Linked DNA regions of Pelodiscus sinensis. The protein of the gene in region 1 interacts with the protein of each later gene in a biochemical or structural test. Links are inferred from orthologs where the notes say so. Each region holds a gene or a part of one and is shown in the gene's direction. Other genes may lie near its edges.

The links.
Region 2: the proteins of NOTCH1 (region 1) and MAML1 form a complex in vitro, tested with the Homo sapiens proteins (2 studies listed by BioGRID). The link is inferred for Pelodiscus sinensis from reciprocal best matches to the Homo sapiens genes NOTCH1 and MAML1.
Region 3: the proteins of NOTCH1 (region 1) and RBPJ form a complex in vitro, tested with the Homo sapiens proteins (5 studies listed by BioGRID and IntAct, with this or other methods). The link is inferred for Pelodiscus sinensis from reciprocal best matches to the Homo sapiens genes NOTCH1 and RBPJ.

What each region holds. Positions count from the first base shown.
Region 1 is NC_134732.1:20,255,672-20,263,012, forward strand, and holds the start of NOTCH1 (neurogenic locus notch homolog protein 1), read left to right. Parts: upstream 1-4,332; 5' UTR 4,333-4,557; coding exon 4,558-4,615; intron 4,616-7,341. UniProt on the Homo sapiens protein: Functions as a receptor for membrane-bound ligands Jagged-1 (JAG1), Jagged-2 (JAG2) and Delta-1 (DLL1) to regulate cell-fate determination.
Region 2 is NC_134727.1:34,213,650-34,221,014, forward strand, and holds the start of MAML1 (mastermind-like protein 1), read left to right. Parts: upstream 1-4,346; 5' UTR 4,347-5,958; coding exon 5,959-6,327; intron 6,328-7,365. UniProt on the Homo sapiens protein: Acts as a transcriptional coactivator for NOTCH proteins. Has been shown to amplify NOTCH-induced transcription of HES1. Enhances phosphorylation and proteolytic turnover of the NOTCH intracellular domain in the nucleus through interaction with CDK8.
Region 3 is NC_134715.1:101,460,287-101,467,866, reverse strand, and holds the start of RBPJ (recombining binding protein suppressor of hairless), read left to right. Parts: upstream 1-4,561; 5' UTR 4,562-4,858; coding exon of another isoform or gene 4,859-4,878; intron 4,879-7,580. UniProt on the Homo sapiens protein: Transcriptional regulator that plays a central role in Notch signaling, a signaling pathway involved in cell-cell communication that regulates a broad spectrum of cell-fate determinations.

The sequences.
Region 1 (7,341 bases):
CCACCTGTCAGGCTGGTGAAGCACTGGAATAAATTGCCTCTGGAGGTTGTGGCATCTCCATCTGTGGTGATTTTTAAGAGCAGACAAACATCGGTCAGGGATGGTCTTGATTCTGAGTCCTGCCATGAGGGCAGGAGACTGCATTTGACCTCCCCAGGTTCCTTCCAGTTCTAGGACTCCATGATTTGGAGACAAAGGAGGGACAAAAGAGCTACAGCTGGCTCAGGACAATGCATCGGTCCTGTTTTCACTTGGACTCCCCTGAAATGATCGTCAGCCCATCGCATGGCGGAAATGCTTTGCTATCCGACCCTGCAGGCCCAACCCTGCCCCAGGATGCTTTCACAAGCTATCTTCATATATCATTGTTTGCGGTGGTGGATCTCATTGAAAGATTAGTGCCAGGTTGCAAACAGACAGAGCTGTACACTAGTGGGTTGAGCCCAGAGATGAGAGCCTATGCATCTTTCCTGACTTTGCCACTGACTTGCTGCATGACCTTGGGCGAATCCCTTGGGCCTTGCACACAGCGAGTTTTTCTTCCACATTTCCCACGGTTGCACTAGCCAGTGATGTGGGAGCAAAAGAGGAAGCACTAATGTAGACAAGGCACTGGTATTTTTGCCACCATCCAAGCAGGACTGAGCAACACAGTAGAAGGGGAGAGGGAACATGCGCATTCCCACCCTTGCCGGCACTGTTAGTACTACTTCACTGGTGGGCTGTGTCTACACTGGGCCACTTATTCCGGAAAATCAGCCGCTTTTCCAGAATAAGCTGCGAGCTCTCTACACTGGCCCTTGAATTTCCGGAAAAGCAACGACGCTCTACTGTACAAAATCAGCTGCTATTCCGGAAAAGCTACGCTGCTCCCGCTCGGGCATAAGTCCTTATTCCGGAACACTGTTCCGGAAAAGGGCCAGTGTAGACAGCCCAGTAGTCTTTTCCGGAAAAAAGCCCCGATCGCGAAAATGGCAATCGGGGCTCTTTTCCGGAAAAGCGCGTCTACATTGGCCACAGATGCTTTTCCGGAAAAAGGGCTTTTCTGGAAAAGCAGCCTGCCAATGTAGACGCTCTTTTTCCGGAAATACTTATAACGAAAACTATTCTGTTTTAAGCATTTCCGGAAATTCATGCCAGTGTAGACACAGCCATGGTGTAATAGTGGGACAGGTGAAGGGAAAAGTTCACTATAGAGACAGACTTTGGCCCACATTTTCAAACACAAGGGCCTCGAATTTAGGCACCTAGACAGATGGCTGGGACTGCATAATAATTGCTGAGAGGTGCTAAGGTGGGGCAGGACATGTGACTGAATTCAACTCTTAGTATCATCGTTAAATCCTACAGGTGATCACATTTAAGAACCCATCCTGCCCCAGACAGAAATCCTATTGACTCCAGAGACATCTCTCCCTTGGATGACCAGGGCCTGAGATGGGTTTGTTAGTGTAAGGGAGAGCTAGAGGAACAGGGTCCTCAGAATAAAATACAGAGGTAGCACTGGCACATGGCAGCAGCCAGAATTTAATGTTGCACTGGCTGAAAATTTACTCAACCTGGGTTTTTTTCCCCTCTGGCCTCTGGAGTTGGCTTCCAGGCCGTCTTTTATTTAATTAGCTGCTTTTTTATTTATTGTTGGCCAGAGTTTGGGTTGAAAGTTCAGAAGTTTACAGCACAAAGGAAATAAACAGGCAGGCCTCACTCGGTTTCTTCCCTCTGGTCCACGCATTCCCAATAGGCAGGCGCCTGGGGGTGAATACATCTTTGTTCGGATTGTTTTGGTCCTTCACTTCACTGTTTGTCACCTAGAGCATTCCAGGAGCAAAAGTCGACCACTCAGACAAGATCGGGGAGCCTCAAAGGTGGCTGAGATTGGGAGACTTAGAGGGGCAGTTTTTCCAAGGTTGACACAAAAGGTGGCTTCACAGATCTGTTTATTCACCTGTTGCATTTGCCAAACTTGGAGCTGCTCGCACTGCACCTGCAAAAATGCAGGTTGCATCCACGGAGCCTGTGAAAACGCAGCCCCTGGACAACTTAACAGACCTCTCCCCCCCCCCCCCCCCCCCCCCCCGACTGACTAGCCCAGTGTTTCTTAAACTTTTTGAGACCACGGAAAACCAAACAATAATACTTTTTATGCAGAACACCTATGAACACCAATTTGTTGTCAGACAAAAAAAGACAAAAACAAATAAGTAACAAAAACAAAGAAGAGTTGACGAGTTGTTCACGGACACCAGTGTTCCACGGAACATAGTTTAAGAAACACTGGACTAGCCCGTCAGCAAGGCAGGCAAACCTCCTGGCTCTCATAACAGCCCCCACCGAGTTACCTGCCCTGATAGGCAGCATGCACCAAGCAGGCTCTGGGAGGTGCAGGGGTTGAGTGCACATTTTTTGAGTGCATCCTTGTGCCTGTATTTGAATACTGTCCCAGATCCGTCACCCTGTCTGGCCCTCAGGGACTAGTCCCACAGACCTTGTGGGGGGCTCTACTTTCTTCCCACTCCAAGTAACTGATACACACACATACACAGACACACCCAGCCTCTAGCAGCACCCAGCTCCTGCCCCACACATACACAGACACACGTGCACACACACACACACACACACTCACTCAGACACACGCAGACATGCAGACTCACTCACAGACACACGTGTACACACGTGCGCACACACATGAACACTTAGACACATACACTCACACATTCTCACACACAGGCACATACACACGCGCTCTCACACAGACACATCATGCACAAACACTCACACACGCACAAACACACATACACACACAGATACACTCACTCTCACAGACACATCATGCACAAACACTCACACACACACACACACACTCACTCTCACAGACACGCATGTACACACACGTGCGCACACACTCTCACAGACACATACACACTCTCACACACGCAGACACACATTCACACAGACGCGTGTACACACATGTGCGCGCACACTCTCTCACACAAACACACGCAGACAGACACACACACACTCTCTCTCACACACCCAGACACACACACGCAGACAGACACACACACACACTCTCTCACACCCAGACTCACACACACACTCTCTCTCACACGCACACACACACACTCTCTCTCACACACCCAGACACACACACGCAGACAGACACACACACACACACACTCTCACACCCAGACTCACACACACACTCTCTCTCTCACACGCACACACACACACACACTCTCTCACACACCCAGACACACACACGCAGACAGACACACACACACACACACTCTCTCACACCCAGACTCACACACACACTCTCTCTCTCACACGCACACACACACTCTCTCACACACCCAGACACACACACACACTCTCTCTGTCACACGCAGACACACACACTCTCTCTCACACACACACACGCAGACACACACACTCTCTCTCTCTCACACCCAGACACGCACACACACTCTCTCTCACACACACACGCAGACAGACACACACTCTCTCTCACACCCAGACACACACACTCTCTCACACCCAGACACACACGCAGACAGACACACACACACACTCTCTCACACCCAGACTCACACACTCTCTCACACACCCAGACACACACACACACTCTCTCACACACACACGCAGACAGACACACACTCTCTCTCACACACACACACGCAGACAGACACACACTCTCTCTCACACACACACACGCAGACACACACACTCTCTCTCTCACACCCAAACACACACACACTCACACACACACACGCAGACAGACACACACTCTCTCTCTCACACGCAGACACACACACACACACTCTCTCTCACACCCAGACACACACCCAGACACACACACACACTCTCTCACACACACACGCAGACAGACACACACTCTCTCTCACACACACACACGCAGACAGACACACACTCTCTCTCACACACACACACGCAGACACACACACTCTCTCTCTCACACCCAAACACACACACACTCTCACACACACACACGCAGACAGACACACACTCTCTCTCTCACACGCAGACACACACACACACACTCTCTCTCACACCCAGACTCACACACACAAACACCCAACTTCCAGCAGCCTGGGAAAGGTCCCGACGCGGCGCAGCCCCCCCCGAGCGCAGGGGCTTGAGGACCAGCTGCCCAACCACTGTCCCGCCCCCTCGCAGCCCGGGGGCCGCTCCCCCCCCCCCGGCCGGGCGGCTGGCTGAGCTCGGGGCACCTGGGCGGAAGGACCAGGGGCGGGGGGCGGGGGGGGGGGGGAATGGGAGGAGAACGCGGCTCGGAGCCGCCGCCTCCTCCTCGCTCGGGGACTCGCAGCCCGAGCTCGCACGGCGCGCCGCGCTCTCCGCGTCTCTGCGCCCCGCGCCGTCCTCCCGCGGAGCGGATCTCGGGGGCCGCCTGAGCCTTTTGGGGGGGCGGGGCCCTGCACGCCCGCCGGCCGGCTGGGGGGGTCGATGCGGCTGTGAGAGGGGGGCCAGGAGCCGCGCCGCGAGAGCCGCCCGCGTGGAGCCCGGAGAGGAGGAATGCAGCTGCTTCTGGTGCAGAGCCTGCTGCTGTCCCTGCTGCCCGCGCTCAGCCGAGGTAGGGGCCGGCCGGGGGCCCGCGTGGGCTGGGGCAGAAGTGAGGGGCGCCCCTGGAGATGGAGCCGGGGAGTCCCTCGCTGGCGAAGGAGAAACTTTCCTCCCCCCTTTCTGTGTCCCGTCTTCCCCTGCCCGGCTCCGGTGCAGCCAGGCGCGGGGACAGGGGGCTTCCGAACCGGGCAGAGCTCCCTCCTGGCGGGGGCTTCCCTGAGAAGCCGGGGCTCAGCCTGAAGCGCAGGTGAACCCCTTTGCAAAGGGCTGCGGCTCGGCTCAGCTCAGGCTGACGGGGGGGGGGGGGAGTTGCCTTCTTATGTGGGGGGAGAGTTGCGTTCCGTGGGGCACTCGTTGTATGTGGTGCATTGCTCTCTGCCACCAGCTGCCCTCGGAGAGGGAATCCGTTTCCTCCCCGAGCCCTTGGATTTTAAAAGATCACAACCCACCTGAGAGGTGTGCGGCTGGCAGGGCGGGGAATCAAGTGTGTGTAACTCCCTCCGCTTAGAAACAATCCTGGGGAGCGGTGAAGTGTGTGTGTGAGAGAGAGAGAGAGAGAGAAAGTTCTCTTAAAACTTTATTCTCTAGAGATCTCCCGAGAGAAGCAAACCTTTAAAAGTTGCCACCACAGGGCTGGATAGCGTGACAGTTTTTGTGACACAAACTGTGTGTGTGTGTGTGTGTGTGTGTGTGTGACACAAACCGTGTGTGTGTGTGTGTGTGTGTGTGTGTGTGTGTGTGTGTGACACAAACCGTGTGTGTGTGTGTGTGTGTGTGTGTGTGTGTGTGTGTGACACAAACCGTGTGTGTGTGTGTGTGTGTGTGTGTGTGTGTGTGTGTGTGTGTGTGTGTGGAGGGGGTTACTTTGGAGAACTGATCTCAGGATACTGTGAATAGTGAAGGGGCTTTTTGGTATGAATTTCTTTTTCTGGGCAGTGGAATATTTCATGTTGCAAAGTTCAGAAAGTGACTCTTTTCCTTGTGTAAAAGTCTCCAAGGGGTGGCCGTGTTAGTCTGTAACTTTGAAAACAACTTTTAAAAAAGCAACAAGTAGCCCTGTGGCACCCTAGAGACTAGCAAACATGTATGTCTAGAGTCACTAGCCTTCGTGGGCAAAACCCACTTCTTCAGATAAGATGTGTTCTGTTAAAGGCTGGGGTATGTAATGAGCAAGCCGGAGATGGGCTGCTTTTTTTTTTATTTTTTGAGAGCCTTGTTAATTTTTTATTTCCTGTTTCTTGAATCTACGTCAGATTTCTTGTTCTCTCAGCCCTTCCTTGCAAGTTTGGGGGCGGATGTCAGAAGCCGTTTTGTTTCTTGTACACGGCAGTAACCTTTGGGGAAACAATCAAATGGAAACTTGTGTAGCAATTCTTCTTTTCGTCAAAAAGGCCCCAAAGTGAAAGATGCGCGAGTTTCACCTAGGTGAGAGGAAAGAGTAGGAAGATATTTTTTAAAAATAATCCCCTTAACATGGGGAGATAAGGTGATGATGAGTCTGCTTGAAAATGCACCACTTCCCTGCCTTAATCCTCACAGCACTGAAAAAATAAGCAACCAAAAACACTGCCTAAGAGTATAAATATGGGGGTAGCATTTAATCACGTGGGTAAAAAGTCTCAGCGCGGGGGAGCCATGTGAAGTCTGTAACTTTAGAAACAAGGACTAGGCCTGTGGCATTTTAGAGACCAACCAAAACAATGTGAGTCCTCTCACTAGCTTTGTAAGGCGGAAAAAGTGCAGCTCCTGTGTTTGGCTGCTAACTTGGATGAGTGGGTTGGCGTCTGCCACCCTGATTCCCACTGAAACCAGGGCCACTGATACAATCAAGGGAGGTTACTAGGGGAAAGCAGCCTGCGGGGAGGAAGCGGGGGGAGGTAAGAAATGAGTCCAGCCTGTATAGCCGTGTGCCATTCCTGCAGGCTGCTCTAGCATGTGCTTTAAAAAAAAAAAAAAGGGTGCCCGGTTGGATCTGTCCCCAATGATTTTTAAACAGAAGCGAGACAGAGGTTTTTATTCTGGAGCGTGCAGGCCAGGGAGTGCAGGACTAAGTATGGGGACCCCTATTGCTCTCTGCCTGGAGTTGCCTTCCGCTGTGTTCATCAGCGTTACACTATAAAGTCAAAAGGCTTAGTCATAGCAAGGGTGTCACCCAGCCTTCCTGGAAGAGCCCTGGGTAGGTACATTTGGGGCTGTCTGGTTTCACTTCACTTTGCATACGCGACCCAAAACTGGCTTCCTTCCCTCCTCCCCAAAGTAAAACAGGGCCGGGGGGCGGCTGGTTGACTCAATCAGATCTTTCAGGCAGCAGGTATTGAGTATCCAGGGCCGTACAGGATTGAGAGCTGCCCTACAGTAAATAATGCAACAAGCGTTTTACAATGGGTCGCTCTGATTTCCCCCTTTGTTAGCAGGCAAGGAAGGCTGTGCTCTGCAGCTGTCGCTTTTTCCCACGCGCAAGGAGGGGAGTGCGCGCCCATGGCTCTGTTCTCCCTCAGTAGGACAGTCTGTAGCCGCTTTTTGTCCTTTTTTTTCTTCCTTTTTTTTTTTTTTTTTTAAATCATGAATATCTGAACAGCCAGACAATTCAGCAGGAGTTTCAGGAGGGTTTTCTGTAGTCAGGACAGGAGCAGTATGTGGTGAGGGATGGGGGGGAGTGGGAAAGGATAGAAACTCTGCGAGCTGGCTGGGAACAAGGTTGGGAGCCGCCTCTGTAATCTGAACTTGTCTGCAGAT
Region 2 (7,365 bases), on another chromosome or scaffold:
TGCTCTCCCTTCCTGAAAAGGACTATCATCACAGACACCTCCCTTCTAGGCCGGGGTGTGCATATGGATGTACATATGACTTGGGAATAATAGAGCCCTCAGGAATCCAGAATCCACATCAACATGCCAGGCCTTTGTCTGCGGCATCTGTTCTCACTTTATTTTTTTGTTGGACATTACCACAATGGTGTGCTTACAGCTACATCAACAAACAGGCAAAAGGGCAACCACTGAAGTGCTGAGAAGCAAGTCACCCTTTGAAACTGGTGCATGCACCTCTAGATAATCTTTTCTGCAAGCTCTTCCCCCCCCCCCCCCCCCCCCCCCAGGAAACCTCAAGTGATTTGCAGAATTGCTCAGGAGACGGCTCATGATCAACTACATGTGGGAACTCTGCAACAACTTACTACAGGTCTCAACAAATGTGGACCTCTGACCACGGACTTCCTTTGCATCCTCTCTGAACGCATATTGCTTAAGTGGAGGTCTGGCTCAGCACTCTTGGCATTTATGCTCTCATCCTACCCTGTTCGGTTATGACCTCTTACCTTCTCTCCTGCTCCTACCTTGGGTACTACACCAAGATCAAATAGGAGAAAGCGACAGTCATCTTGATAGTCCCCCGCTAGCCCAGACGGTTTTGCTTTCTTAACCGTCACATGTCTTCATGCCCGTTTCCCCATTCCTTTCCTCAGTCTACCGATACAAACGTTCCATCAGCCATCCCACTCCATGGGTGCTTCCCCTCAGCATTGTATTTGGATGGGCATCATCTTGAATGTGTGTGTTCCTCACAAATACAAAATACCCTTTCCAGTGGCAAGAAGGACTCCACTAGGTGTAGGTACTGAGCCATATGGAGGCACTTTGCCTCCTGGGTGCAAAAGTCTTCCTCAGAAGGAGTTAGGGTTCCCATTGTCCTAGAGTATCTCTTGTCCTTTAAGGTTGCCAGGTCTTGCCCTTGGTTTTATCAAGATCTAACTAGCAGCAGTTAGTGCCTCTTTGCCCCCCAATGTTAAGGGCACTCAATCTTTACCCTCACATTGGCTGGCTGGCTAAATTTTGGAAGGGCCTCTAGAACTTTTCACACCTATACAATCCATTATCTCCAATGGGATCATAACCTGGCCCTATATACATGAACAAAACTGCCCTTTGAGTTGCAGATGTCATGCTCGTTGCCCCTCATTTTTTACGAAAGTTGTCTTCCTGATGGATTGTGTGTGAGTGGTTTGCAAGCTCAGGGCTGTGATAGTAGGCCACCTTTTCACAACACTGTGTGTGGATACTTTATCCATACATCTTCAACCCAAACTTTTGCCAAAGGTTATTTCCCAATTGCATGTTAATCATCCTGTTTTCTTACTGAAACTGCATGCATTGGAAGGGGAATGGAGACTCCACTAGCTAGATGCTGGGCCTTACCTTTTACTTTCCACAGATGAAACCAATCAGGAGAGTCTCCCAGGCTGCTTTTTTGTAATATTTGAAAGAATTAAGGGGTGGGTAGTCTCCATATGACAAGTGGATTTGGGGCTGCATTACAGTTTTATCAATTATCCAACCTCTAGCTAACCCACAAAGATGCAGGCCCTCTCATCAAAATCTTAGGCTTTGACCAGGGCCCTCCTTCCACTAAGTGCCACTAAGGGATATCATATGGAGGAGTTCTGTTCACACCTTTTGATATGCATTATGCATTGTAACAGGAATCCCCAACAGATGCCTTCTCCCTCACCTTTTCTCTTCCAATTGGGGTACTAACTAGAGCTCCTGAATGGACTACAATAGGAGACCATCTCTTTTGAAGAGATTACTTACCTGTATGTTGCAACTATGGGTTCTTTGAGATGTGTGGTCCCTGTTTGTATTCTACTTCATGCCCTCTTTCCCCTCTGCTGGGAATCTGTTGAAGTAGAGAAGGTGCAGGAGATGCATTTAGTCTACCCTGCTCTTTCTCACCTGTGACAAAACCCATGAGGTGAGTTCAGGTTGCATACATGAACCAAGAGACTACTAATTTTAAATTATCCAGCTCTGGATGAATAATATGCATATGTAAACATTCACTGGACTACAGATAGAGACCACACATCTTGAAGAACCTCTAGTTACAAGTAACCGACTCGGAGCTTAAATTTGGAGACTCAAATTTCTCAAACTTAATACCACATGAAACATTTTTCATTGGAGAAGAGCTGGATGAAGAGATTAGGATGTGAATTGAACTCTTTTGCCTCTTGATTCACCTTAGCTTGGGCTGTGTAACACACCCTCTCAAGACTATGCCTCCCATAATGTTCTTAGTAGTCTTGGTAGCAAGTATAAAATTTCTAAACTTCAGAACTTGTGAAAACCTGACTGGGGTAAGCCATTTGTAAGTTCCATGCTAATTAGAGACGAGTTTTTTTTTACTTGACTGTTTTTAGAAGCACCTGAGCTATCTGTCCTGCATAGCTATCAAAAATCTAAGACTAGGGGGTTACTGCTGGGTTTTGAATCAGTTTTTTTTCTTTCATCTGCTGCCACCAGTCTTGATAAATTTGCCACTACTGCTGCTAAGAGGGGTTAAGCTTAACAAGTTTTTGGAAGTTCTATTTTTTTTAAAACACCAATAAATTTAATATGCCCTTAATAAACAAAATCAGTATCTAGATACTTTGTCATCAATTTTACAAACCATATAACTGTATTCAGGTTGTGCCTGACTTGTTTAGTAACTTACTTTAGAAGAGGACTGGGATTTGGATCCACAACAACTCTGTCATAGTCCTTCGGTATTTTAATTGTATTACTGCAGCTGTGATTTCGATTATCAAGAATCTGTTCTTTTTGACCATAGTTGGTGGATTTTCTGAGGGTTGCTGTTTTTTCCCTTGTCAGTTTATTCTATAAATGTTGCTTTTTTAGGTTCATTATCGATTACTGCTCATGGTATTTTTTTGTCCTTATCCAGTTCATAATAATGCTGTTGCAGGAACCAGTAAGTACTCCTCTACCTTCTACTATGCATGGTTCTGGCTGATACTTTAATCTTAGTAAATTTAGTACTTTTGAAATCTCAAGAATTTTTGAATGTACACATGCTCCCATTTCAAGTGGCACACCAAATACAATACTTATCAAGTTTAAAAAACATTTGTCATGACAGTTTTCATAGGTCATCTGCACAATCTTGTATTACAACCCATAATCTAGTAAAACATATGGTATGAATAGTTCATTTCTGTACATTGCTAAAAGGTTTGTTCTCTGTATTCCCATACTGTAAATTCTTCTGACTCAACTTTGGAATACAGATTCCACTGTTCAGAGCTTCTTTTCAAGAAAAGTAGTATATAAATTCATAGATTCCAAGGCCTGAAGGGACCTTTGTGGTTATGTAGTCAGAGCTTTTTGTATAACAGAAGTGATAGAACTTCCTTGAAATAATTACTATATGGTTTTTAGAAAAACTTTAATCCTGATTTTAAACTTGCTAGTGTTATATTCTGTTACTACCTCTGGTAAATTATTCAGTGGTTGGTTATCCTCAGTTAAACACTTGCACGTTAACTGTATTAGTCTAGCTTCAGCTTCCAGCCAATGGATTGGATTATATACCCTTTTTTGCTGCTAGATTGAAGAGCCTATTGTAAAGTATTTCTCTGCAGTGGTACTTAAAAACTGCTCTATAGTAAATGAGCTTGGTGTCCTTTATTATGTTTTTTTCCTAGCCCATTAACCATTCTTATGACACCCTTATTCCAACATCTTATATGAATTGTAGACATCAGCACCAGTAATAACATTCCAGCAGTAGTTGTTTTCAGGCCAAATAGAAGTGTAATTTATTGCCCTTTTTTATGCACCTATGGATCACATTAGGGCCCCCCCCTCCTTTGCCACAATTATTGCAGAGGAGTTGATGTTAATTTGATAATCCACCATTACTCCCCCTCTTCTACCCCCCAACTTATTTCAGTTAAGGTAGAAAACTCTACCCTAAAAAGTACCATGCATTGTGATCTCGTTTTTGTTGGGCGCTTTTTTGGCCTTGATGTTCACTTTTACATTTAGTTATCTGAGAGTACATGCTTCTGTTTCACCTATTTTACCAACTGATCAAGATTGTTCTAGTAGTGCTCTCATCTTCCTTTTTTACTACTCTAATACTTGTGGAGTGGAACCTTATTACTGATTTTTGTGGAGGTGTGTGGGGTTTTTTTTTGGGGGGGGGGGGTCGTCCTGGAGCACTGATGAGTAGCATAGGGCAAACTGGTCAGTTGTTCCCTGTAACTTGTGCAAGTATGCAGGAGATTCCAGTTTTACCTGGCTGATGAGCAGTCTGCCCATAGGTGCACATTTGCACAAACAGGTGAGCTGACACTCGCTGGGTCCTTTAGCCAAGGTGGTTTGCAGAAGGGGGGGAGGGATTTGTGCTCCCAGAAGCAGCAGCAGCTTCCCCCTGGTGCTGTCTGGACCATGTCCCCTACTCAGCATCTCTGGAACATACTGGGCAGAGTTGTGCTGGTGATTTAAAGGGCCTGGGCCTCTGACCATCCAGCAGCAGCCAGGAGCTCTGGGCCCCTTTTATCCCTCACCCCCTTGGCAGGCCTGCACATGTAAAAAAGTATTCTTGATGTGGATGGCGAAAACTGCACAAGGATGAAAGACCGGTGCAAACACTGCCAATAAGGCTTTAGTAGAAACATACTAGAAGGGGCTTGAGTTCCTAGTTGAGACTAGGGATGTTAATCACCTAATGGAATAGTGGATGGAATTTGCATAAACTATTTGATTAGTCGATAAGGGTTGTTCTCTCTTTTGAAATGTAGCAAGAACCCTGCTGGCTCTTGCTACATTTAAAAGGCAGAAGCACCATAGTGAGCAGGGGCTCAAGCAGTTCCCTACTGGTCCTATGCTCCCTGCTTTTGAAAGGTGGAAGTTCCTCCAGTATCCTGTTGCACTTCTGCCCCTTCTCACCACCCCCCAGCTCCTGGAGGAGAACTGGCTTTTAAGCCAGCTCCTGCTTTTTTGCCTCCATCTCTTTTTCCTCTCCTCCCCAGAGAGGCAGCAAGGGCTTATAGCCCTAGTTGTGACCTTTTCCGGAGCCAGTTGTTACTAGTTAGTGCCTATACCTATGGCTGGGTTAGTCTAATTTTTTAAACATCTGCCTTAGTGGAACAGCGCTGTCTGTCATAGGCTTGAGTGTTTTATCAGCCGGTTTGGTTAATCCCCGCTTTTCCCCACCCAGTGGCCAGTTCTAGCCCACTTCCTTAGTTCTTCATTCATCAGGCCTGGACGCTGGGGGGGAAGGGATACCGGCCCTCTATTGGCCCGAGCAGGGACCACCGAATTGTCACTCACAGCTCCGCCCTTCGCTTCTCATTGGCTGTCTTCAACGTGCCCCCGCCTCTTCCTCGTCGATGCCTTTTAAATGCAGTGAAAGGGCACCGCCTACAGGATCGTCATTAGGCCCCGCCCCTGGTTCCTTCCTCGGGCAAGCTGGTGGGCTGGACAAGATGTCCGTCATCTCCCGCGGCGCCCTCCGTGCGCCTGACGTCAGACACCACCCAGGAAGCCCCGCCTAGTCAGTCTGAACTCGGCTCTTAAGGGGAAAAGCAGTTCCAAGATGGCGGCCGCGCGGCTAACAATGGGGAGTCCGGGCTGTGGGCCTCAGCGAGGCGGCCGCCGCGCCTGAGGGAAGTGGCGCGGGCTCCGGCCGGGCCGGGCTGAGGGGGGGGGAAGCGGCCGCGGGGCGAAGGAGGAAGTGGGGCGCGGGGAGCGGAGTCGGGCCGGGGCGTAAGAGGAGGAAGTGGGGGGGTGGGCGAGGCCTGAAGGGAGCCCGCTTGGGGAGGGGGCGAGGCCTCAGGGCAGCCTGGGGAGGGTTCGAGGGGAGCCCCGGTCTCGCCCTGGCCATGGTGGGGCCGGCGTGAGGAGCCGCTGAGCGGCAGCGGCCCCCTCGGTGCCCGGCCCATGGTGCTGCCCCCCTGCCCCATGGCGGAGTTCGTGGTGCCGCGGCACAGCGCGGTGATGGAGCGGCTCCGCCGGCGCATCGAGCTCTGCCGGCGGCACCACAGCGCCTGCGAGTCCCGCTACCAGGCCGTGTCCCCGGAGCGCCTGGAGCTGGAGCGACAGCAAACCTTCGCCCTGCACCAGCGCTGCCTGCAGGCCAAGGCCAAGCGGGCCGGGAAGCACCGCCAGCCTCCCCCGGCGCCGCCGCCGCCCGCCCCCCCTCCTCCGGCGGCTGGGGTTGCGGGCAGCGCCGACCGGGCTGGAGCCAACGGCCTGGACGCCGACGCCGCGAGCACCGAGCAGCACGGCCGCAGCAGCACCTTGATCGCGGTAAGGAGCAGCTGGTTCGCGAGGCGGGGTGGGTGAGACGGTGCCCAACTGGCAGAACTACTTCCTCCTCTGGGCTGGTCTAGGGGAGAGAGCCCCCCAGCCCTTACTGGCAGGAGTTCGTGTTAGGTCTCTGGGCAGTCCATACGAAAACTCCTCGCTTGGCTATTCCTGCCCTGACTGCCCTCGTCCGGTCCTGACACCGCAGGCAGAAGCCTAGCGACGGGGAGGGACAGGAGTAGTTTCTATTTAGAAAAATCACAGATGTTTTAGCAGCTTTGAACTGTGCTCCATGTAGCCGGGCTATTTATGGTTCTGGCTTATTGACCTATAGTTGTCTCTGTAAGAGCAACCCGGGGTAGTGCTTGTTCTGTGACTGTCATATTTTTTTGGAAGTGAACAAGAAGGGAGATGGGCGATACCACTGTTTACCATGGTTCTTGTTGATCGGTAGAGATGGTTCTGACTAACTAGAAGCTTTCTGCTTTTCAAAATAGTAACACCCAATAATACTACACCATCCTTGCAAAGAGCTAAATGAAGCTGTGCTCGACTGGCAGCTGATGATTTGCCACTTTTCCTGATAGATGTGAGCTAATCGTGACTGATACTCTGATCCCACTCTACCCATTTAAAAATAGTTCAGTCTTCAAAAGAGTAACCTCCTCTCTTCTCACTAGTATTATTGGGTGTGATGCTGTACTGTTAAATAAAGTATTATTTAACTTGTTTTGAGGTCTTGAGAATGCTCGGTATAATGTAGCTAAGGAGCAGGGAAATGTAGTGTAGCAGAACAACTATTTAAAAAGTAACCCACAGTCTTCATTGAAATAAAGGTTGTAAACTGTATCCTAAATTCCATAAAAACTGTTAAACTGAGGTCTTTTCAAGAAGCCTCTTGGCATTAATCAGTCGCCTTTCCAGTTATACACATACATAATCTAATTTTTACGTAAGATGAAATGGGTGGGAGAAATATTTACAAGGACCCATTTACGAATCTTTAATTCAAGGCACAGCCAAAAGTAGTAATCATAAATT
Region 3 (7,580 bases), on another chromosome or scaffold:
TACATTTTATTAGCATTAGCAAGCTGAAGATATCAGAGGGGTAGCCGTGTTAGTCTGAATCTGCAAAAGCAGCTTCTCCTCTCTTGGAATTCACACCTCCAGATCAGCTACTAGCAGTGGGCCTCATCCTCGGTGATTGGATCCACCTCGTCATCTCCAGCCTGATTCTGGCCTGCATATTTATACCTGCCCCTGGAAATTTCCACTACATGCATCTGATGAAGTGGGTCTTTGCCCACAAAAGCTTATGCTCCAACACTTCAGTTAGTCAAACATAATGTAAGCGGGGGAATGGTCCCGCTCTTGTGGGGAACTTTCCTGGCTTCTATACACCCCGGTGAAATGAACCAGCGAAAGGATCTGAGTCCCCGCTCCCACTTCCTTTACCCCACGGCTCCCTGATCCTGAGGGCTCCCCCTCCACTCTCCTGAGTAGCAGAGCCCTTGAAACCCCAACAAGGCTGGGCCCAGGTTTCCTGGGGCTTAACCCCTGACCTTGTAGTCACTAGGGGCAGGAGTTAGGGTGTCCCCACTCCGAAGTGCTCTCTTTACACTGCAGGCCTTCTTGGCCCAGTGATCACTTCATAAGGTTCAAAGCAAATACAATTTATTAAACATCAACTGATTAAAGAGAATAGAATAAGAAACAATGAGAATGGTTAAATGAGAACACACAGCCCTGCTCTGTAGCACAGGGACATCAAAACAGCAGTCTGCAGAGTTTAAGGACAGTCCACAGTCTCTTCCTTAGAAGCCCTGGAAGTGCTGCAAGGGGCTGCAGGCTGGACACGCTTGCACTGGCAGTGACCACACAGCCTCAGTCTCTAAGTGGCCAGACCCCTCTCCCAGTCCAGAGCCTTTCTCCACACTTTGCAGGTCCCAGTAGCTCACCACATCCAGCTGCAGGCTGTGCTGCTTGGCCAGTTCCAGCTCCTTGTGTTGCCTCTCTGTTCCTTTTGGCTTTCTGAGCACTGCCAGTCTGCTGCTCAACACAGGGTCTGCACTGCTTGGCCTGTCTGTGTCTGGTTCTGTCGCTGCAGGACTTCTTCTTGTACTCCTCTTTCAGCTCTCTGTCTTTGCAGGACCTCTTCTGCACACAGCTTGTTTGTTCAGAGACAGAGCCAGAACAATCCCCACTTACAACCTGTCAGTCAGGCTGAGCTGGAGTGTTGACTGCTTTCCATTGTCTCTGGGGTCTGTCAGTCTCATGAACCCTTCCCCTTCTGAAGCTGGTAAACCAAAAAACTCCCACAGAGTTTTAGTAAGGGGTAACAGTCCCCTTACAATAAGGTGCCACAGGACTCCTCGTCGCTCAAGTTGAAGATGCAGACCAAAAATTACATTACAAAGATGATGGAAAGTTTAGCAGGTCTGGTTGACATACTTACAAAAGACTGAAGTAGTGATAAACTCATTCTCATATTGGATATTTGTATTAATATTGGGGATTTGAGTGTGAAGCTAGATGGCTTATTGATGCTACAGAGGCAGAAAGCTGACGGGGTGAAAGAAGAGCTAGTTATGAACTTCCACACCAGTAGTCTGGAAAGTTAAATTGCACATTTAGGCCATGTCTACACTATGAGATAAGAGCAAATTTACTAAGGTCAGTTTTTTGTAGCACCTGATTTTGTCAAGGTCCATGTTCCTACTGTTCACATGAATTTGACACAATTCAAAGTAGCATGTCCACATGGGGGCTACTGTCAGTTTTGAGAGTTATGTATTCTGGTTAGCTATCCCACAGTTACTTCGCCCCTTGCATTCTGGGTTATGTTCCCAGTGTAAACTGGAACCAAAACTATGCAGTGAGTGCTTCTGGGGATATGTCGTCAGCATCTCATAGTGCACTCATCTCCTCCCCTTCACCCCACCACTTGAAAGCAGTGGTAAACAATCACTTCACACACTTTTTTCCCCTTGTTATCCACATATAGCACATAGCATGGACTCCATCATGGATTCTGTTGAGCATCAAAGCATTACGATAATCATATTACTCAGAGTGAGCCTTATCTTAGAGCATGTCCAGGGTCCGCTGGAGCGAGGAAGAATCTCGTCAGGCCATGAACATATTCTTTTGCAAAGCACTTGGGTTGAGCAACTGGAAATGCTGCCAACTTTCAATTCTCTGGACACATAGGGACATTGGTTCTGGTGCTATCGGAGAAGCACATAATGGTGGGATGGCATAGTTATGGGATGACTGGCAAGAGCTGCAAAACTTTTATATATGTAAGGTCACTCTCATGAAAGTTTGTATATGGCTTTCCCCCACCCTGAAGCACAAGAATACCAGAATGAGATCTGCTCTGACAGTGAAGTGAATGGCAATTGCCCTATGAAAGCTTGCAATGCCATACAGCTACCAGTCAGCTAGAAATCAATGTGGGGTGGGTAAGTGTGCTACTCAGGTGTGCTGCCTGCTCTGAAGTCTGCTAGCCAAACTGGAAATGAAATTCAAAATTTTCCAGTTCTTTTCCTGGTCACTTGGGGTATGTTTACACTAGCTCATTAATTCGAGCTAGATAGGCAAATCAGGCAACTGGAGTTGCAAATGAAGCCCAGGATTTAAATATCCCAGGCTTTATTTGCATGTTCCTGTCCGGACGCCATTTTTAAATCCCCCTTAGTTCGAACGAACTGCCTGCGGCTACACGCAACAGTTTAAAGTTAATACAAACTAAATTCTTAGTTTGGATTAACTGTTACTCCTCATGGAATGGAATGAGGTGTAACAGTTAATCCGAACTAAGGATTTATTTAAATCCTGGGCTTCATTTGCAACTCCGGTTGCCTGATTTGGCTACCTAGCTCGAATTAACGAGATAGTGTAGACATACCCTTGGAGAGCAGTAGAGTTGAAAGTCCTGGCCAGAGTGGACACTGTGGGGTACTATAGGATGCATGCTAGAAGCCAAAAACTATGGGGCTATGTCTACATTGGCGGGTTCTTGCACAAGAACACATCCACACTGCCATGTGCTTTTGCGCCAGAGCATCCATGGCAGTGTGGACGCTGTCTTGCGCAAAAAAGCTCTGATGGCCATTTTAGCCATAGGGCTTTCTTGTGCAAGAAGCCCCTGCCGTGTATCCACACTGCCCTGTTGCACAAGAGGGCTTACACTTGTTAGAAAAGAGCGTAACTCTTCTGACACCATACTGTAAATCTTCTTGCACAAGAGCAGGTGGGCAGTGTGGATGCTCTGAGGGTTCTTGCACAAGAACCCGCCAGTGTAGACATAGCCTGACAGGGGTGGCCAACCTGTAGCTCCAGAGCCACATGTGTCTCTTCAGAAGATAATATGGGACTCCTTTCATAGGTACCAAATCCAGTGCTGGAGCTGCAAGTGCCAACTTTCCACTGGTCCAGAGGCTGTTCAATCCCCAACTCTGCCCTAGGTGCTGTCCCCCTCTGCCCTTTTCTCCTAGGATCCTGCCACTTCCCACATTCTCCACTGAACCTGTCACACCCATGCTTCTCCCCTCCAGTGTCTCCCATTCAGAAAGAGCTGATCACAGTGGGCAGGAACAGGCTCTGATCAGTGGGAGTGGGGGGATGTGCTGACAGTGGTGGTGAGGACATGATCAGGGCTGGTGACATATAACTGCTCTTTGGCAATGTGTATTAGAAAATTCTGGCTCCTTCTCAAGTTTAGATTAGTCATGCCTGAACTACGACTTTCTCAGCATTGTGTCTGAACTACCATAAAGTTGACCATGCAAGGTCAAATTTAGTGTCATTCTAAGCAGGAGTTCCAAAATTGACCTTAACTGCACTTAAAGTCAACAGAATTGGGATGGGCATAGTGGTTTCACTGTTTAGCAAATCAACCTAAGACAGTCAAATTGACATAAGCTCCCAGCTTACACCCGGCCTTAGTTTTGCAAATGACCTTTCTGATTGCTAAATGCCCAGCTCAGGGCCTCAAATCAGAATTTTCCCTTTTCTGTTAAATCACTAGTGCCAAGGAATTGTCAGGAGTGGACAATGTAATACCCTGGTACTGACATTGCTTCTCTTGCCAGCTCTCTACCTTTTTCAGTGCAGCCAAAATGCAGTTGCGAAGGGGCCCCCAACCCTGGGATTTCTCTACCTGTGTCTGTAAACAAGCGGGGAGACAGCCCCCCCCCTCCCCGGGTGGGCTCGCAGAGGTGGGGGTGAGGAAGGACGCACAACCCCTGCCAGGCAGGGCGCTTGAGGGCGTCCCTACAGCAGGGTACGGAGCCGGCGGGCAGGGGAGACGAGGGCTGCGAAGCGCGGGACAGCAGCGGCTAACCGGCCACCAGCGTGCGACCCCCAAGGCGGGGAGGCGGCCCGGGCCGCTCCGCGGAGAGGGCAGCGCTGGAAGGCAGCGATCGCTCGCTCGCTGGCTGGCGCGGGCCGGGGCCGCTCAGCACTCCGGGGCGCGCTGCGTGTCGGCCACGGGCAGAGGAGCGCCTGGGGGACGGATCCTGGCTGCCCCACCCGAATGGTCCCTCCCACCCCTCTCCCGCGCGTGGTTTGTTCCTCCTCGGCTCAAGGAGACTCCGAAACAAACACTCCCAGCGCAGCGCGGCCGCGAAGGAGTCCCCCACCCTTTGCCTTCCCTTCGCTCTCGCGAGACTAGTCCAGCTTCTCCCTTAGCGCCCAGCAGGCCGCTGCTAGAGTTCTCGCGAGTTTTGGGCAGGTTCCCACGCCTGTTGCCGCTGTTGTGTCTGAAGGGAGAACCCGGGAATGAGGGGGTGGCGCGCTTCCCCCACTCTCTCCGCTCCGCGACCGCGTGTGTGTCTCACGGGCCCGTGCACGCGCGCACTCGGCCTGGGCTGGAGGAGGCAGCTCTCGCGAGAGTAGGAGTTTTGGCGAGAGTTTGTGGAAGATGGCGCCTGTTGTGACAGGGTAAGTGCGGGGGTTTCGCAGCGCCGGGCCGGGAGCGATTCCGTTCCGCGCTCACCGGCGGCCACGCTGGGCTTGCTGCTTCCCAGTTCTCCTTCCGGGGATGCGGGAGCAACTAGCCGGGCGGCCCGGCGGAGGCCCCGAGACTCGGACCCAGGGGGGTTGGGACCCCCAGGTGGCTGCATCAGGGAAGGCCCCCGGGCCATAGGCCGGGATCCTGAGGCGCATAGTGTGGGGTGGGGTGGGCCGCCCTTCCCAAATCCTGCGTGGGACGTGGGGGAGCCTTCGTGCCGGACACCCCCCTTTCCGAGGTGAATGCCTTTCGTGGGGTCGGAGCACCCTTAGCCACCGGCCCGGGGGCACTAGACAAAGGCTCTTGTCTCGCTGAGGGGAAGCTGAGTGCTGCTTCCCCTCCTTCGTAGTCGAGGGGGGCAGAGCACCTCCGTCGTCAGTCACCGGGCTGCGCTGAACTCACCAGGCGCTAGGTCCCATCAGTAGGACAAGCCTTTCCCCAAGCAAATCTCCTGCTCCCTTTCAGGAGTGGGTGGAAGTTCCCGTTTCCCTCTGCCTGTTCACCGTTCTTGGGGTTACAAGTGACTATCGGTGCCAGCAGAAGAGGAGAAGCCTTTCCCACTCCAGCTGCTCCTCATTGAGTCACAATAAAGACTAGCTGCCATCCTTATCAGCGCCACTGGGCCATACGGAATAATGACCTTCCACCTGTAATCTGTGTGATGTTAATCAGTGGCATATGACTAATCAGCTTTTGTTAGGTAATAATGGTAGACTCACCATAGTGGTACAGTGCATCAGCAGTCGTTTTACACATCTCTGCTACATCTTGAGTTACACTGCACATAGCAGGCATCATTCTCCACTCTTGGGTCACACTGTATAGTTTCATCCACTCCTCTGAATACATAGTGACTCTTGAGGAATGGGGCTACATGTACAATAGCAGGCCTTGTCTGCTCGCACCCTGATAGTACAAAACAAATTCCTGATGGGTCTTAATATTGTTGAACATCTTGACATGGTGGACTTAATTTGATATTTTTACAGTGATTGTCAAAGACACGCAGAATACTCTTTTACTCTTTTTCCTTGTTGAGATTACTCTGTCTCCAAACATGGCTATTTGGTTAGAGAGACTAGCATCCTGCCTTTGCTTTTTTTTTGGGGGGGGGGGGGGGGGGGGGAATATTGATAGTTGTTTTTGTTTTCTTGAGAAAAGTGGCATTATAGTATTTTTCTTGTTTCATTTTGGCCTCAGTGGTTGTTCCATTTTTGTTTCTTGGTTGTTGAGAACAAGATCTAAACTGCTGCCTTGGAGGTTGCCTGGTTTCTTTCATGTTCAAATGGAGCTTGCTTCTGCTGTGTTTTTTTCCCCCCCTAATACACATTCTTTAAGGCAGCAGGTGTTTGTTATGGTTTCTGTCTGGAACTATTTAGAATTGTAAGGATGAGGGAACAAGACGAAAAGTGCTTTAAAATGTTGCTTTAAATACTGCTGGGGTGGTTATGTATTAATTTTATTTCAGTTTATTTTCTTTTCATTTAATTTTCTGATCATTTGACAATTATATCCTTTGCTCGTTGATTATCAAAGTGCTGTCTAATGTTCTCAGGTTTGTGTCATCCTGTGTCTTAGGATATATATGCTACATTTTCACTAATTCATAAGCCAAATCCATAATGAAGTTTCTTATGAATTACAAAATCATGCTAACAGTAGAAGAAAGGCTTGTGCTTTAACACGAAAGGAGAAAAGTGTGCTGGAGGATTCTAAAGCCAGCTCCTCATGGGCATCGACTCCCCCCTCCCCCCCCCCGCCTCTTGCTTGTCAGTTAATTGTTTACTTGACTGTATGCTCACATCCCTACTCAAAACATGCATAATTTTAGTAATTCCTATTAAAGACTGGAATTCCTTGTCATTCCCTGTGACCCTGCATCAGAGTACTTACTGACGGTCAGAGTTGATAAATAAGACCCTGACTTATTTATTATTATGGATGATTGCTTCAAACATTTTGTATCACATAGGTAAGCTATAAAAGACATGTTAAGATTTATTATCAGGTGTGGCATTATTAAATTGACCTGCTGTCTGGTTGGTAGAACCTTGTTAAATCAGATGGCTACATTTTGACAGGTATAGTTTTAGTTTGCCACATAGATATTTAATGTTATAAAGGAGAATGAGCCAACTGGGATTTTGTCAGCTTTATCAGGTTCATGGATTAGTAATATTATATCTTAGTTTTGGATTAACAATGTTATATCCACAGTGAAAACAGTATGTTAAAATCTGATGACATTTAATAAGTGAAAATTTTTCATAAAGTACTGTAATAATTAAGAAACTTCCAATGATTCTAGTGTAAATCAGTCTCTCTCTCAAGTTTTAGAGAATAGCGGAGAAAACAGTTTGAAATTCAAAGTCTTTCTAGAATTAATAAATTCAAGAATATAGTTAATTACATTTTGCACTCATTTTCAGTGGTGGTATGCAATTTTTATTCACATTGAGATTGCTAGACAAAGTGTGTAAGTGAATGTTTGCGAATCAAACACAAGTTGAATGAATGCCTTTTTATAGAACCAGTCTTTCTGTGAAAACTCTGACTGCTAAAACTTAAATTACAGTAATACATCTATTCACTTGTGCCAGTAACCTGTTCATCAAATAGTGAGGTTAGCATT